Macaca fascicularis: one gene and its partners. The main gene of each other region encodes a partner of the protein of the gene in region 2 in a complex. Links are inferred from orthologs where the notes say so. Each region holds a gene or a part of one and is shown on either strand. Other genes may lie near its edges. The genes, in order: ITGB6, ITGAV, TGFB1 and ITGB8.

Region 1 (4,333 bases), about 27 Mb from region 2:
CCTTTAGAACTTTCTCCAAGATTTGAAAGTGAGGAAGAAAAGTGAAAAAGATGGGTTAAAAGTCTGCTTTTCTGTGTGGGACACAGGAGTTCCACAAGGATAGCAGAGGTACAGTGAGATGAAGTCGTTCGCAGCAGAGATGTGGTCATTCAAATTCTGGAACGCCCAAAACAGGGAGATGGAGCTAACAGATTAAATACCTAACTTACCTGATAGGCACGACTGCTCTAGGGCGGGCATGACACTACGCAAAGGGGAACTTGTTGCCCATTGACTCTCATGCTTAGAGAAAACCAAACCAATGCTCACACTATTTTCCTTGCCTCTTAGAACTCCAAGCCACTCTTGCTGTTTTCATCAGCTAGGAAAGTTAGATTTCTTCTGAAATTGATTTTGAGAATACAATTTGTTATCAATCAGTAGGCCTGTGCATGTCTGAAGCTCTAGGCCAGGCATGGCAAACTGTAACTTCCCATGATGTCACTAAGGGAAACAGTGGCTGGCCAAGGCTTCAGAATCCTTCTCAACACAGTGTCATTGCTATCCCTCTAGTCATAGCCTTTGCCAAAAGATCAGAGGTGGTGTTAACCACATGACCTATTTTCTATCTGCCCTAAGCAGAAGCCTAATTTACTTTTTGCTCCAACTGCCTCAACTGGCATCCTCATAACTACTTCTAATATTAGAGTGGCCTCTTAGAATAATTTGACTTTACAATTTGACAACAATTTGGCTACCAAGTATTATCCACAAGTAAAGTTATCAGCAGCAACTTAGGAAACTCTTAACTAAATGCTGAAAAATGCATTTAAATGAAAATTCTAGGCTGATTTGTTATTTTATCTCTCTGGCATGAAACTAATACTTCTTCAGGAAGTCAATACCCAAAAACATGTGAATTTTTCCCTCCTTGTATATTCTCAATCCTGCTTTGATACAGGAACTCAAAAAAAGGCATAATTCTCTTGGACTTTTGTTTGTGGTCGCGTCGGTCAAGGCTCTGGTAGGGGACTGAGCTACGTTTGTGCTCTCCTGTCTTCATGGATACACACTGAACTCAGAGTTTGGGTTTCCACAGGTAGAACCCAGTTCTGAGTTTGGTGTTGAGGTGTTGAGGTTTCGCTGAACTTGGTATTTGTATGATTTGATTTATGTTTAGATTATCTTTATGAGATCCAGTGGGTAGAGACTTGTTTTAAAATTCAGAAAGCTAATGCCTGTCTTTCTCACCATGAATCAGTCAGACATCACTCTCTAGTGTCTTAGAATGGCTTGGTAGATATTCCCCGATCATCTTCACACTGATTTCACATAGTTTTCAGTTTGACCAGATAAGGAGTGCCTATTTGGAACTTTGTCACTGGCATGGTACAGAGTCACTGAGTTTATGAAAATGCCATTTTTAAAAGAACTGGATAATGCCTGACCAGTAATATTTGCCCCAAACTTAAAACACATCCCTCAGAACCTAGCAGTAGTTCAGAATGGATCCTAGTACCCAGATGGAATACAACTATGATATGAACATCAAATGTATGTTTAACTTTAGAAAATCCATCTCCATGATCTCTGATTATCCAGACAGCCTCCATATTTTATACGCAACCAGTTAGAAATGGCTTTACAATAAGAGAAGGAGTGAGGTAAAATTAAAAATCCCAAGTTACATATTTTTCCAAATAATTTGACATCCACTCCTTCTACAAATTGTTTTTGAAAGTAATCACATGAATGCCATTTTGATCTACCAATGCTCACCTTCTCCTTTCCTGATTTGTTTTACTCATACAATTCCACAAAAAAGCAATTCACTATCAGAACTATCACTGAGGAAATTAACATGAGTGTAACTGCAGACAGGTTTTAAAAACATGTTGAGGTCGTTTATTTTACCTCCTGAGCACACCAGGCACACTGAGGTCCAATGAGCAGGCAGTCTTCACAGGTTTCTGCACCTCCCAGGGCACAGCCACCTAGGTTTAGACCCAGCAAGACGCAGGGATTAAGTATACTTTCAGTCATTCCATTTATGAGACTGATGGCTCTTACATTACTTGAACAAAACAACATCAAAGTTTAGTTTAGTATCCAAGATCAGTCCTCGAAATGTTAGCAATTCACATAAAAGTTTGTATTTTACATCTATCACATGTAAAATATGTGTATGTGTATTAAAAAGTATGTATGTCTTATAAGCCAAAATTATCATCCTCTTTTTTCTTAAAATGTGAAAGTTCACAAATATAGGATTATCCTATTTATTGTTCCACCTTAATTTTTAAAAATTACATGCACCCATTAAAAAATGCTTCTTTCTTAAACGAGGTATTTCTGTTTTTGAAATAAATCCTTTCTCTCTTTCAAGATTATTACTCTTAAGTGGAAGATCTTGTGGTAGAATAAAATAGAAAAGTTTCAAAAATGGTTATCACAGTGGCACTAAGTTCCATTGGGCAGCAATGTTATTTAATTCTCCTCATTAAAATGCCTGTGCAACCTTTGTATTTATTTACCTTAAGCCTAGAGCATTCATTGTGGGAACTGCCCGGTGTTTGTCTGTAATTTGTTAAAGCGTTCACTCAGTGACAAAAGAGCAATGGAACAGATCAAATAAAACATGACTTCAGATCTAGTTTCTGAACCAAATGACAAGTTTGTCAAGCATACCACGAAAGCAATATATCGGAGAACGTAGGTCTTACCTTGTACGTGATCATTCCTTCCTAGAAATAGAAAGAACAGGCAAAGCAGTTCAATCCCCATTCGCTTCAGTTCTTGCTGTGCAGACCGATTAAAAAATGAATTACCTTCAGCGTTACAAGACCAAAGCTGAATATCGTTAAAGTCTTTCTTTCTTGAAGTGTAACATTTTAAATACTACTTACACTGCTTTGAAAAGAAACTTGAGATGTAAGTTAGAAAGTTTTCTTTAAGACTGAAATGAAAACAGAGGCTACCTGGACAGGTAAAGCAGAAAAGCTGTGTTTAAAAGCAACTTCAACATGATTTACTTCCTTGTTCGCCTTATAAGGAAGGCAGGTGTACAATCACCAAGAAGGTGGGGAAATTCATTCAGTGGAAATTCTGGTGTAAGTTCTATGAGTCTCTCTGCATCCTAGAGAAAGTTATTATCTTTAGTGAAATATTGATCAATGAAATGTCAAAACAGCAATTGAAATAGTCATTTCTAAAATAATTTTAACTTAATGTAAAGAATAAAGATATTAAATAAAGCATATAGCCTATATGTGGGGAAAGTAAAAAATGAGCTTAATGAAAATAACTGAGATTTTTGTATTTCATTGCTAAACCCTTTTCAAAAAATTGAAATGAACCCTGAAAAAGAAAAATTATTATTTTACAGTAAATGAGAAGGCAGGCTAGGGAAAGCAAAGCACTGTTTCCTTATTTTTCAAATTAGATGGCATATATTTTTCCATAAGTACGAAATTCCTATTTTAAAATGATATTGGAAATAATCATAATATACAAAAACCAAAGGAGATCAAAATAAGACTGTGTCAAAAGACATTGATGACAACAATGATGAAAACAGAAATGATGGTGCCCAAGATTCTGAATCCCTCAGGCTAGGGACCAAGTTCTCTTCACAATGTGCTGTTCCAACTTCTGGCTCATGATTTGGCACATAGGAGATATTTATTTGTTGAGTGAAAGAGTGACAATTTAACATATATATGATCTATGGCTAAATCCATAAGGTTGTTTGTATTTTTCCCCCAATGTGTTCTTCAGGAGGGTGTTTTGGGATTCGTAGAGTCTGTGAACAGATAAGAATCAAATTCTCACTTCGTCACTCTCGAAACTGCTGACCTTAGAGAGACTTTTCTGTGGCCAGGCTTATGTCTGAGGAGATAATCTTTTCAAGGAGCATTACTAGGTAAGCATGTGAAACCTGTAAACAGAGGGAAACGGACTATGGTCAACAATAATTTAATTGTACATTTAAAAATAACTAAAAGACTATGAATGGGTTGTTTGTAACACAAAGGAGAAATGCTTGAGGGGATGGATACTCCACTTTCCCTGAGGTGCTTATTACACGTTGCATGCCTGTACCAAAACATCTCATGTACCCCATAAATATCTATATACCCACAAAAATAAAAACTAAAATAAAATAATTTTTAAAATAAAAACCAAAGAAAGAGAGAAACTAATTATAGACTACCTAGGCTTTTCTCAGAAGCCTATGTTATGTTCAATTTTGAACTCCATCGTATCCAAGAAGCTGGAAAAACATGGCAAGAATTCTGCAGTAACAATCCAGAATTATTGAATAATTGGAAGATGTGCATTTTGGGAGAAAATT
Region 2 (2,712 bases):
TTCACTAAAGCTAAATAGAGAGTCTTGTCTACAGTCCTACCTTGTATACCTCAACTAAATGTGCTCCTATTTTATGAATATTTTCTTAAGATTAGCTCAGTCATTTCTGCAGGAAATTATGAGATATGGCAAGGTAAATTTCAATTATTTTTAAAACACAGCAAAATAGTCAATTATTTAAGGGAAATACTTATCATTACCTAATGAGGACAGCAGTTAAAGAGCTATTAAACTCTCTATTTCTAATGCACAACATGATGTAATTGCACAAAAATAGGTATAATTGATCAGCATCCCCAGGCCTTGAGGAACTGTGAATAAATCATATATTCCTCTAGAAGGTTCACCACTCTACAGAGCCATATAAAACTACAACTTTCTACCTATGTGGCTTTTATTAAAAATTCTAGAAAATTAATTTATACTAACAAACTTCAGAAAGCTTTAAAAGGTTTTCAATAACTTGAACTGCTTATAAAAATTTTTTTAGAAGTTATTCTGATAGCTAAGACTGATTTTACACATTACCTTGCTTAAACAGGGGTAATATTCCTGTAACATTATGCTATTGCTAGAGGTAAATCAGTGAGTCACCTTAAGAGTTTTTATTCCAAGCATTACTCATAAAGTTGGGGTAAGGGGTCCAGGTTCCTGTCAACTGTAAGGATTCCTCATTGATATTGACCCATTCTCAGTAACAGTTTTGGAAATATAAGGAAAAATACATGAATGGGGGAAAATAAATTAATACTAACTAAAAACTCTGCTCTACTCTAAGAATGTACTACTTACTATAAGCATAAGCAACTATCTCAAAGAACTACATAGTATTTTAATAAAAATGCTTTTTTTATACTGTAAATAGCCAGACTAAAACAATGGAATAAATATGCTTTGAAAATAATTTCCAACCCCATATGGCTTTAAGCATTATGATATTCAGTTGAAATTAAACAATTACACAAAAGAGGCATTTGTGATTATGGAACTAATTTTTAGTATAGGTTGGCTTGAAGGATTTGACATAAAATTTATACAAGTTAAAATGTAATAAAATATTGTGGATTTAATATAAACAAAAGTGTTATAGGATCTACCCAATTTTCATATTAAAACAAAATATTGTACCTTTGTTATTAAAAGCAAGAATTTTGATGGTATCATGTATGTGTTTATAAAGTTCCACGATATAAGAGATTAAAAAAATCTAAATCTAAGTTCATGCAGTTATAAAGTCTTTAGTATCCTGAAAAGTAAACTGTAGTGTAATATGTATTAACATTAAGTACCTATACAAAAGACATAATTGCTGAGGTCCAAATTTGGACTGCTTTAAAACAACAACAACAACAAAAAATGAAATTCAATACATTAAATCAGAAACAGTAACTGAAGGAGGTACTATTTTATATAAAGTAGTAAATCAGGCACTATCTGTCTTATATACATTGAATAAAAACTATCCCTTGAAATTTTATTATTTAAATACCTAAAAACACAAGTCACTCTATGTTATTAAATGTATGTCTGAACTTATTTATCAGGAGAAGGTTGACAAATGCTCATTTCGTGGTGAATGCCAATTAGCACTATCAGCAGTAAAGCCTTGGATTTTTACTCCTCATGAAGAAAGTTTAAATCTATAATAAAGTTGCTAATTCTAGTGGGTCAAGATGTAGCATAACTTAAAAACTGCAGTTAAGTTTCTGAGTTTCCTTCACCATTTTCATGAGGTTGAAGTTGTTCCCTTTCTTGTTCCTCTTGAGGTGGCCGGACCCGTTTAAAAAAGCCCATCTGTCAGTTGAAGAAAAACCGTTATTACTGTCACATCAGTGTAGAATACGAAAAGTATTTTCTGAGTGACTATATTGCCACTAAGAAAATTCAAATTGTATTTCACAGAATTTATCTTCCCTCAAATAATAAGTAATGCTCATCAAGCATCATTCATTACAGGTCCCTTTCTTCCTTCCCTTACTTTTCATTCTTCTTTTCCTTCTGCCCTTTCCCTTTTCTTCTGTTTTCTCTCTCTCCTTCTTTGTCTCTTTCTAAGTTCGTTACTTACCCTGTACATTACAAATACCAAAACAGCCAGTAGCAACAATCCTGCAAGAACTGCTAAAATGATCACCCACACAGGCACAGGCATGGGTGCTGGCTGAATGCCCCAGGTGACATTAGTGGTAACCTATCGAGGAATAAAGATATTAGTTTTAAAAACAGTGCATTGACTTAATCAACAAATATCTGAGAAAATATTATATTTTATTTTAATGGAATTCACAGTATATTCTTTTCCTGCATATGATAATTTAGTGATTTCACATTTGGTATCAAGAGCATGCACATACACACATGAAACTCCCAATGACAGGTTGACTTCTGATTGCATCTGAAACGCAATCTTTTTTTAGACAGTCTTGCCCTGTATGTAGCCCAAGCTGGAATGCAGGGGCATGAACTCGGCTCACTGCAACCTCCACCTTCCGAGTTCAAGTGAGTCTCATGCTTCAGCCTCCCCAGTAGCTGGAATTACAGGCATGCACCACCATACCCAGCTAATTTTTCTGTATTTTTCGTAGCGAAGGGGTTTCACCATGTTGGCCAGGCTGGTCTTGAACTCCTGGCCTCAAATGATCCACCTGTCTCAGCCTCCCAAAGTGCTGGGATTACAGGTGTGAGGCACCACACCCAGCTTGAAATGATTTTTAA
Region 3 (3,802 bases), on a different chromosome or scaffold from region 2:
TTTTCGTCTCCGTTAGTCTCTCTGTCCACGCATGGTTTTTGTCTCTGCGACTATTTTCTCTCCCTTTCTATTTTTCTCTTCCACGGTCCTCTCTGTCTCTAGCATCTGACCGCCTCTCCCTCTCGCAGCACCCTCCAACCCTTCCTTTCCCTCCTCTTTCTCTTCCTCCCTATCTGTCTTCCCCAGCCAAGGCTCTGCCTTTCCTTTGGGGTTTGCTGAGTAACCTCCGGGCCAAGAATAGGGCTTATTGGGGCTGGGTGGGGAGGGAGACTGGGGAAGAGGAGGAGGATCTAAGGGCGCCCTAGGAAGCGGTTTCCTCTGGCTTTCTCACCAGTCTCTTTTCACACCCCCACTATAGGAGGCTGGAAGCAGTTGCCCCAGTTGATCCAGGAGTTCAATGATGGCCTATTCCCTCATCCTCAACCCCAAACTTTTCCTAAACTAGAAAATAACTTGGCTGGGCGCCGTGGCTCACGCCTGTAATCCCAGCACTTTGAGAGGCCAAGGCGGGTGGATCACCTGAGGTCAGGAGTTCCAGACCAGCCTGGCCAACATGGGGAAACCCCGTCTCTACTAAAAATACAAAGATTAGCTGGGCGGGGTGGCGGGCGGCGCCTGTAATCCCAGCTACTTGGGAGTCTGAGACAGGAGAATCACTTGAACCTGGGAAGCGGAGGTTGTGCCACTGCACTCCAGCCTGGGCGACAGAGACTCCGTCTCAAAAAAGAAAAGAAAAGAAAAGAAAACACCTTAATTCCTTTTGTCCCCACTACAGCCGTTCCTACCCAGAATGAACTTCACTTTCCCTAACCAGCTGGGGAAGGGAGTTAAGGGTGGAAAACGAATAATAAAAAGTAGAACAATCACTTAGGGGATAAGAGCACAGTCTCTAGCTGGGTGGGTGCGGTGGCTCATGCCTGTGATCTCAACATATTGGGAGACTGAGGTGGGAGGATCCCTTGAGCCCGGGAGTTCCAGCCTGCAGTGAGCCATGGTTGTGCTACTGCACTTCAGTTTGGGGGACAGAGTGAGACCCTGTCTCTTGGTGGGGGGGATGGGGAAAAAAAGCACAGTCTCTGGAACTAAACAGCTTGAGTTTGAATCCCAGTCTGCAGCTATGTGACCTTGGGGCAAATTACTTAATCTTGGTGCCTCAGTTTCTCCATCTATTAAATGGGTATAATAATAGTATAAGGTTGTGAGGTTAAATGTCTTCATCTTTGTAAAGTGCTTTAAATAGCATCTGGTAAATAGCGCTGTTTGTGGTTTTTTTTTAATTGTTGTTGCTTTTTTTTCTGAGACAGAGTCTTACTCTGTCACCCAGGCTGGAGTACAGTGACTCAATCTCGGCACACTATAACCTCTGCCTCTCAGGTTCAAGCGATTCTCATGCCTCAACCTCCCAAGTAGCTGGGATTACAGGTGCCCGCCACCATGCCTGGCTAATTTTTGTATTTTTAGTAGAAATAGGGCTTCATCATATTGGCCAGGCTGGTCTTGAACTCCCGACCTCAGGTAATCCATCCACCTCGGCTTCCCAAAGTGCTGGGATTACAGGTGTGAGCCTCCGTGCCCAGCCAGTGCTCTTAAATGTATACATGATTGAGTGACCAGTGTATACAGAATTGGTGCCACATGGCTTGACCTGGGTCATCTAATTTCCCACTATAATCCTGGAATGGGTTCTAGAGTCGCTCTGTCTTGCCTTACAGATGAGCACCTGGCTCAGAGAGGAATTCATTTGCCCAAGGTTACACAGAGTCTGGGTGGGAGTGCAGGGAGCTTAATGTTATTGCTGGTTTTCAAAGAATAACAGGAAACTGACTTCAGAAAGAGGGTGTTAACTGCCCATGGTCAGACAGCCGAGAGGGAGCAGAGGCACTATCTGAGTCCAAAGCCTGTGCCCTTGATCCTTACTCTGCATTTTAGGGGCTCTTGCATTTGGGGCAAGGAAGGCCAGAGCAAACAGAGTGGTTCCCCTTAGTGCCAGCCTTAGTCGACTTGACAGATGATGCTACATGAGAGAGGAGTGTGGTTAGGACCCATTTTACAGAGGAGGAAACAAACCCCCAGGGGGAGAAACCACTTCTTCAAGGTCACACAGCTAAAAAGTATCACAGTCAGGGCCGGGCGCGGTGGCTCACGCCTGTAATCCCAGCACTTTGGGAGGCCAAGGCAGGTGGATCACCAGGTCAGGAGATCGAGACCATCTTGGCCAACATGGTGAAATCCCATCTCTACTAAAAATACAAAAATTAGCTGGGCGTGGTGGCATGCGCCTTTAGTCCCAACTGCTTGGGAGGCTGAGGCAGGAGAATTGCTTGAACCGGAGAGGCAGAGGTTGCAATGAGCAGAGATCACGCCACTGCACTCCAAGCCTGGGTGACAGAGCGAGACTCTATCTCAAAAAAAAAAATAAAGAATAAATAAATAAATAAAAGGTATCAGTGACTGACTCCACCCCAGAGTTGTCAGCTCCAAAACTCCTAGACTTGGGAGCACCAGCTCCCCTCACCTCTGCCAAACCCCTGATCACCTCCCTTCATTTCTCCCTGCTAGAAATCTATGACAAGTTCAAGCAGAGCACACACAGCATATATATGTTCTTCAACACATCAGAGCTCCGAGAAGCAGTACCTGAACCTGTGTTGCTCTCCCGGGCAGAGCTGCGTCTGCTGAGGCTCAAGTTAAAAGTGGAGCAGCATGTGGAGCTGTACCAGGTGAGGACATGAGCCAGAAGGAAGGTCAGGGCATGGGCTGGAGAGGGTGAGCTGTGACCAGCGGGGCGGCTGTGGGTGTGCTGGCTACAAGGTCCACCTAGATGGTCCCTGAAGGATAGAGGAATACAGACCATACAGTCCTAGGACTCTTTTTTTTTTTTTTTTCTTTTTTGAGACAGAGTCTCGCTCTGTTGCCAAGCTGGAGTGCAGTGGTACGACCTCAGCTCACTGCAATCTCCGCCTCCTAGGTTCAAGTGATTCTCCTGCCTCAGCCTCCCAAGCAGCTGGGATTACAGGCGTGCACCACCATACCCAGCTAATTTTTGTATTTTTAGTAGAGACGGGGTTTTACCATGTTGGCCAGGATGGTCTTGAACTCCTGACCTCGTGATCCACCTGCCTTGGTCTCCCAAAGTGCTCAGATTACAGGCGTGAGCCACTGCGCCTTGCCTTTTTTTTTTTTTTTTTTGAGATGGAGTCTTGCTCTGTCGCCCAGGCTGGAGTATAATGACTTGATCTCGGCTCACTGCAGTCTCCGCCTCCTGGCTTCAAGTGATTCTCCTGCCTCAGCCACCTGAGTAGCTGGGATTACAGGCATGCACCAGCACACTGGGCTAATTTTTGTATTGTTAGTAGAGATAAAGTTTTATCGTGTTGGCCAGGCTTGTCTCGAACTCCTGCCCTCAAGTGATTCTCCTACCTGAGGCTCCCAGAGTGCTGGGATTACAGGCGTGAGCCTCCGCACCAGGAATCTAGAGCACTTTTAAACATTCAGACTCTTTGCATCCTAGGACGTTAAACACTTAGAAGGCTGGAATCTTAGGAGTTGGACTCTTTAAGGACACAGGATTCTTGAAAGTTGGGATCTCTGAAAAGGTTGGGGACTCTAGAATCATGCTGTCCAATGTGACAGCCGCTAGTCACATTTAATTTTATTAAAATTTAAAGTATTTAAAATTAAATTAAAAATTTAGGGCCAGGCATAGTGGCTCACATCTCTAATCCCAGCACTTTGGGGAGCCGAGGCAGGCAGATTGCTTGAGCCCGGGAGTCCGAGACCAGTCTGGGAAACATTTTGAAAC
Region 4 (4,393 bases), on a different chromosome or scaffold from region 2:
AGTGAGACTTTTTCCTTTGTCTATACATTGGGAACAAAATATACTGTTATAACACAAATTTTGGTCATTTTACTAGTGTGTGTGTGTGTTTGCTAAATCTAGAAAAGGACTTTATTACTTATTGAAACAGGATGAAATTATGCTTAGTGGAAAATTTGTTGCAACAAATGCATGCTTCTTCCATTTAAGAGATAACTGATAATGAATGTTACTTTTTCCTTTGCCTTTTCACTATTTTGAAATCAACAAACAAGCCAAAAAATAACCACAAGATCAAGAGATTTACTCTAATTTCTCCATTTCAGATAACTGAGCAAATCTCCCTGAAACAAATATTAGAAAACTATATATGCAACAATTTACTAAAGACAGCTGGATGTTTCCAAATGTTTTTATATATATATATATAGAGAGAGAGAGCCTACTTATAAGGTTATGACTTGGCTGCTTTAATTAGCTTCAGGCAAAAACTTGGCACATCAAAGTATAGGAGTAAATTTTAACCTACAAAACAATTACAACTATTAATTCAACTCTCCTTGAGCCTGAGAGGTCAGAGAAAGGATCTAATATAATTTAAGGACTTGGTGACCAAACAGACAAAAAGTGAAATTAAAAAAAAAAAAAAAAAAGAAAGTATGACAATAGTCACTGCATTGGCAAAAATAAATGTTGGGTCTATATTGAAAACCATTAAGAACTCATTCTAAACTCATGATTCGTCCTATTACTTAGTTGTATAATTTTCCAACAATCCAATCCGGTATACCACCTTACATTTGATTTTGTCTCATAAATCAAAAGTCCTGAAACACCTTCTCGTGTACTATTTGACTTGAACTTCCCTTTGTGATTTAGAGAAGGCAGGTATTATTAACCTCGTTTTACAGACGAGGACAATGAATTTCATAAAGAGTTAACCTCTCCACATCAAGGTAGCTCTGACATAAATGGTTTGCCTGGACAGAAAGCTGTCAATCCTGGTCCAGAGTTCTTTCTGCTTCTCTGTACCAGAGATGGATCTCTGTGAGGGATCAATTAGATAGTATTTTTTTTAAGCTGAAAGGATGGTGACTTAAAGCATGAATATCCCTCCAGTGTGGGTGATTCATTCAGATTGAGCACTAATGATAGTAGAAACTCGTATGCTGTCCTTTTCTGGACTCAAAAATTGAAGACTACTCCCATTATAACCAACTTATCTACAGCCTCGAGTTAAAGGCAAGTTAGTTGTTAGTGGACCCAAATGTTAGAAAGATGGGGAGAATATTCTGTACAGACGATGCCCTTAAGAATGGACCAGGGCCCCTAAATGACTTCTGTAAACAGGACACCCTGTCTTCCAAAATTCCTTTCTGTCAGGGCTTCCTCAACACCTAGGAGTAACACACAGTGCCTCCTCTGATAATTAGTCCTTGCTGTCGCTCCAGGGCAGAAATGCTTGACACCTGGCCTAGAGGCCATCTGTGCTAGAGGACGCTGCCACGCACCCGCCCTCTTGAAGTTCTCTGATGACCGCAACTTACCTGGCCGGGATGCTCTGGCTGGGCAGCTCTTCGTGCCAGCCCAAGACCTTTGAGGAAAAGAAGAAAACAAAACAAAACAACTTACCACCTTGGCCCAGTCCAAGAACAAGTGAAAGTACCCAGGCTGCCCAGAGGAACGAGGCGGGACCTCGCCGGTCGTTTTGCAGGCAGACAAATGCAGCGGTAAAAAAAGCCAGGGCCGAGCCGCACATAATGCAAAACGGCCCGCCCCGCGCCCGCCGCCTGGCTGCTTTCCGGACGCGCGCTCGCGCCTCCCAGGCGCACCTCGGGGCCCGCGGGCCGAGTGTCGCTAGGACGTTTTCCGCAGGCCTAGCAGGCTGACCCCGCGGCTCGGAGCAAGCGGTGCAGGTAAGCGGGCCCGGGCACCGCTCGGCATCTCAGGGCCCCTGCGGCCCTCCCAGCTTGGCACGGTGGGTCCCGCGGTCTCCGCGAGAAGCACCTCCTTCGACGGCCAAGGGCCCCGGCGGCGATTGGAGAGAGGGCTCTGCAAGGGCTCCGCAGCCTGGTCCGGGACAAAGAAAAGAGCTTTTGTTTCTCTCCAGCCGGTGGGGCTTCTGCTGCATAAATCAGCTTAGCGAAGAGCCAAACACAATCAAACCCAAACAAAGCCCGAAGCTGGGGGGGAAACCACCCTAATGTACATTCACTGGGTGATGCTGGATCTGTGGGAGGGGACGCCGGCGAGGTCGAGGGGAAAAAAGTCGATGGCGCATCAATCAGCGCAGTTTCTTCCACAGGTGGGCAGGGAGGCCAACTTCACTAGCTGCAGCTTTGCAGCCTTGCCTGCGGAGCAGCGGGCAAAGACAAGTCGGCAGCGTCCTGGCTGGCGAGGGAGGAAGCTCGGGATGCCAGCAACAGGGGGAGGCGACTCTGGGAGCTCCCTAGAAGCACCCGCCGACTCCCGCAGGCACAGAGCGAGGCATCGCCGCTCCCTGCCTGGCGGGGAGTGGGGCCCGCGGCTGCGAGCGCAGGAGGGGAGGTTCCGCTGGGTGCCGGAGCCCGGCTACGCGGGGCGGGGGCTGCTTGCCCTTGTCCTGTCGGCCCCAGTGCGCGGCTCAGGCGTCCCGCAGTCCAGAGCCCGAGTTGCTGGCGCGCTCTGGGGTGCACACGGCGAGGATGCGAGAGAGGCGAGGGCGGCGATGGGCGGGAGAGGGGTGGTCCTGCTCTGGCCCCCCGGGGGGCTTCAGACCTGCGGGTAGCCCGGTACACTCAGGGCAGAGAGTTGCTAGGAAACCTCCCCACGCTACCGGAGCGCCTCGGCTCGGCTGCCCGCAGGCGCGGCTGCAGCCCGGGCAGGAGCAGCAGTAACAGCTCCGAGCAGCGTGGGCGGGACATTGGTGAGGCATGAAGTCACCACGGCCCACACTCGCTCTTTGTTTTGCTCACTCCAGCTCTTTTTTTCCCCCCTTGGCTCTGATAGTTGCCATTCCCATCGTTCACAAGAACTCCTGAAGCGTAGCCGCGCAACAGGAATGGCACGCCTCGTTCCCTTCTCCCTCCTCCCCCGAATCCTTGCACCCCAACGCTCGCGGGGGTGGTGGGAGACTCGCTCAGCGCCAGCAGCAGCTGCGAGCAAACCCCAATCTCTCACCCCCGCGCTGCTCGCCGCTTTGTTCGGAGATACTCACTGCCCCGCAGCTGCTGCATACAAAGTGGAGTCAAGGGACCGCCCCTGCCCCCAACGCCCTCTACTCAGCACTTTGCTTGCAGTTAGGAGCTCGTCCTCTGCCCCACCACAAGGCTGCCCCGGTCTCCCTAGCCTTTGGAGAGTTGGACCAGTCTGCAGGGGCTGTTCCCGGAGCGACTGGCCGAGATTTCTCGCTGCTCCTTCCCTACTCAAAACCTTAACCCTGGGCTGGACAGCCCTGTTTTTCCCCAGCGTCTGGTGGTGGCTCTGGGCTTTTGCAAGTTACAGTGGGTCTTTTGATCTTAAGCGTCACCTTCCCAGTAAACGGAACAAAGAAGTTACAGACAGCAGCTAAGTGGGGAGAGGGGAGCTGAGGAGAGAAGGTGGGAGGCGTTTCTGCCTGCTTGCAGCTCAGAAATTTAGGTGCAAGTAGGATGCGGGTGTTATGCTGGGCAACTGTCCGGGAAGCAGCGCGCCTCCTCGGGTCCTGTCATTACCACTCTAAGTCGAGGGAGGGAACTCAGTCCCCCGCATTGGAAACGAGGCAGTGTTTCCAGTTCAACACTGTGATGGTTCTCTTTTCCCTCTAGGGGCAGGAGTGATTCCCAGTCCAGAAGTTTGACCTCTTATTTTAATACAACACCCGCCTCTTACAGGCAACAGACCAGTCCAGCCAGGTCAACGTGAAATATGCGGGAGTTTCCCCCCTTCTTATTTAATAGTTTCCGTCTCCTTATTTTTAGTTAAAAAAAAAAAAAAGGTAGGAGGCGTGCTCTCTCTCTCTTTTTCTTTCTGTTGACTGAGTGAATGGAAAGTACCTGGTTCATAAACCACAACATCGAAACTCCCCCTTTCAGGTGTGGACTGCACAGCGAGGTGCACAGAATTAGTTAAGCAAACCAGGAACCCAGCTAGAAAATTAAACGCGCCCTGGATCTACAAAGCAGGTCCCTTCGAGAGACCAAAGCCGTGATCCCAACCTTAGCAACATAATTCTACTACAGGTGATGTACTCTAAATAAATAGAAATAAATCCAGCTCCGCTTTAATTTTTATTTTCTTAGTTCCAAGTTTGAACAGTTATAGTTTTGTTTTTTGGTTGTCCTAAAGGAAAGACCTAAACATTAGTTAGGAAGGGTGTGAGGACTTGAAAATTTGAACACAAAAGTATCATAGTCAATATCTGATTAGTGACTCTTCCATTGGGCAGCCTGTGTGT

What was found.
Region 1: the proteins of ITGAV (region 2) and ITGB6 are in contact, whole or in part, in a crystal structure (PDB 9CZA), measured with the Homo sapiens proteins. The link is inferred for Macaca fascicularis from reciprocal best matches to the Homo sapiens genes ITGAV and ITGB6. Residues at the interface, in NP_002201.2 of Homo sapiens: Tyr48, Phe51, Lys72, Trp123, Leu141, His143, Gln150, Glu151, Arg152, Pro154, Asp178, Ala179, Phe184, Gln186, Phe189, Pro204, Tyr208, Trp209, Asp249, Tyr251, Tyr254, Pro274, Arg275, Arg278, Thr279, Met302, Ala303, Tyr305, Phe308, Pro328; in NP_000879.2 of Homo sapiens: Ser183, Pro184, Phe185, Lys187, Thr188, Thr189, Pro190, Ile236, Asp237, Thr238, Pro239, Asp273, Ser274, His275, Phe276, Gly277, Met278, Asp279, Lys281, Leu282, Ala283, Gly284, Val286, Pro288, Glu308, Thr311, Ile312, Gly313, Gln314, Ile316.
Region 3: the proteins of ITGAV (region 2) and TGFB1 are in contact, whole or in part, in a crystal structure (PDB 5FFO), measured with the Homo sapiens proteins. The link is inferred for Macaca fascicularis from reciprocal best matches to the Homo sapiens genes ITGAV and TGFB1. Residues at the interface, in NP_002201.2 of Homo sapiens: Asp178, Asp180, Phe207, Tyr208, Gln210, Ala245, Asp248; in NP_000651.3 of Homo sapiens: Gly242, Arg243, Arg244, Gly245.
Region 4: the proteins of ITGAV (region 2) and ITGB8 are in contact, whole or in part, in a cryo-EM structure (PDB 8TCF), measured with the Homo sapiens proteins. The link is inferred for Macaca fascicularis from reciprocal best matches to the Homo sapiens genes ITGAV and ITGB8. Residues at the interface, in NP_002201.2 of Homo sapiens: Tyr48, Phe51, Trp123, Leu141, His143, Gln150, Glu151, Arg152, Pro154, Phe184, Gln186, Phe189, Pro204, Trp209, Asp249, Tyr251, Tyr254, Arg275, Arg278, Thr279, Gln301, Met302, Ala303, Tyr305, Phe308, Pro328, Leu329, Met331, Ser335, Asp336; in NP_002205.1 of Homo sapiens: Ser197, Pro198, Ile202, His203, Pro204, Arg206, Ile250, Asp251, Thr252, Pro253, Thr287, Ser288, His289, Leu290, Ala291, Leu292, Asp293, Lys295, Leu296, Gly298, Val300, Pro302, Glu321, Ser324, Leu325, Gly326, Gln327, Glu330, His349, Trp350.

The regions. Positions count from the first base shown.
Region 1 is NC_088386.1:55,629,359-55,633,691, forward strand, and holds the start of ITGB6 (integrin beta-6), read right to left. Parts: upstream 2,973-4,333; 5' UTR 2,764-2,972; coding exon 2,703-2,763; intron 1,974-2,702; coding exon 1,894-1,973; intron 1-1,893. UniProt on the Homo sapiens protein: Integrin alpha-V:beta-6 (ITGAV:ITGB6) is a receptor for fibronectin and cytotactin. It recognizes the sequence R-G-D in its ligands. Internalization of integrin alpha-V/beta-6 via clathrin-mediated endocytosis promotes carcinoma cell invasion.
Region 2 is NC_088386.1:82,260,732-82,263,443, reverse strand, and holds part of ITGAV (integrin alpha-V), read right to left. Parts: intron 2,189-2,712; coding exon 2,066-2,188; intron 1,795-2,065; coding exon 1,699-1,794; 3' UTR 1-1,698.
Region 3 is NC_088393.1:48,488,719-48,492,520, reverse strand, and holds part of TGFB1 (transforming growth factor beta-1 proprotein), read left to right. Parts: intron 1-2,559; coding exon 2,560-2,720; intron 2,721-3,802. UniProt on the Homo sapiens protein: Transforming growth factor beta-1 proprotein: Precursor of the Latency-associated peptide (LAP) and Transforming growth factor beta-1 (TGF-beta-1) chains, which constitute the regulatory and active subunit of TGF-beta-1, respectively.
Region 4 is NC_088377.1:109,883,224-109,887,616, forward strand, and holds the start of ITGB8 (integrin beta-8), read right to left. Parts: upstream 2,857-4,393; 5' UTR 1,739-2,856; coding exon 1,612-1,738; intron 1-1,611. UniProt on the Homo sapiens protein: Integrin alpha-V:beta-8 (ITGAV:ITGB8) is a receptor for fibronectin. It recognizes the sequence R-G-D in its ligands.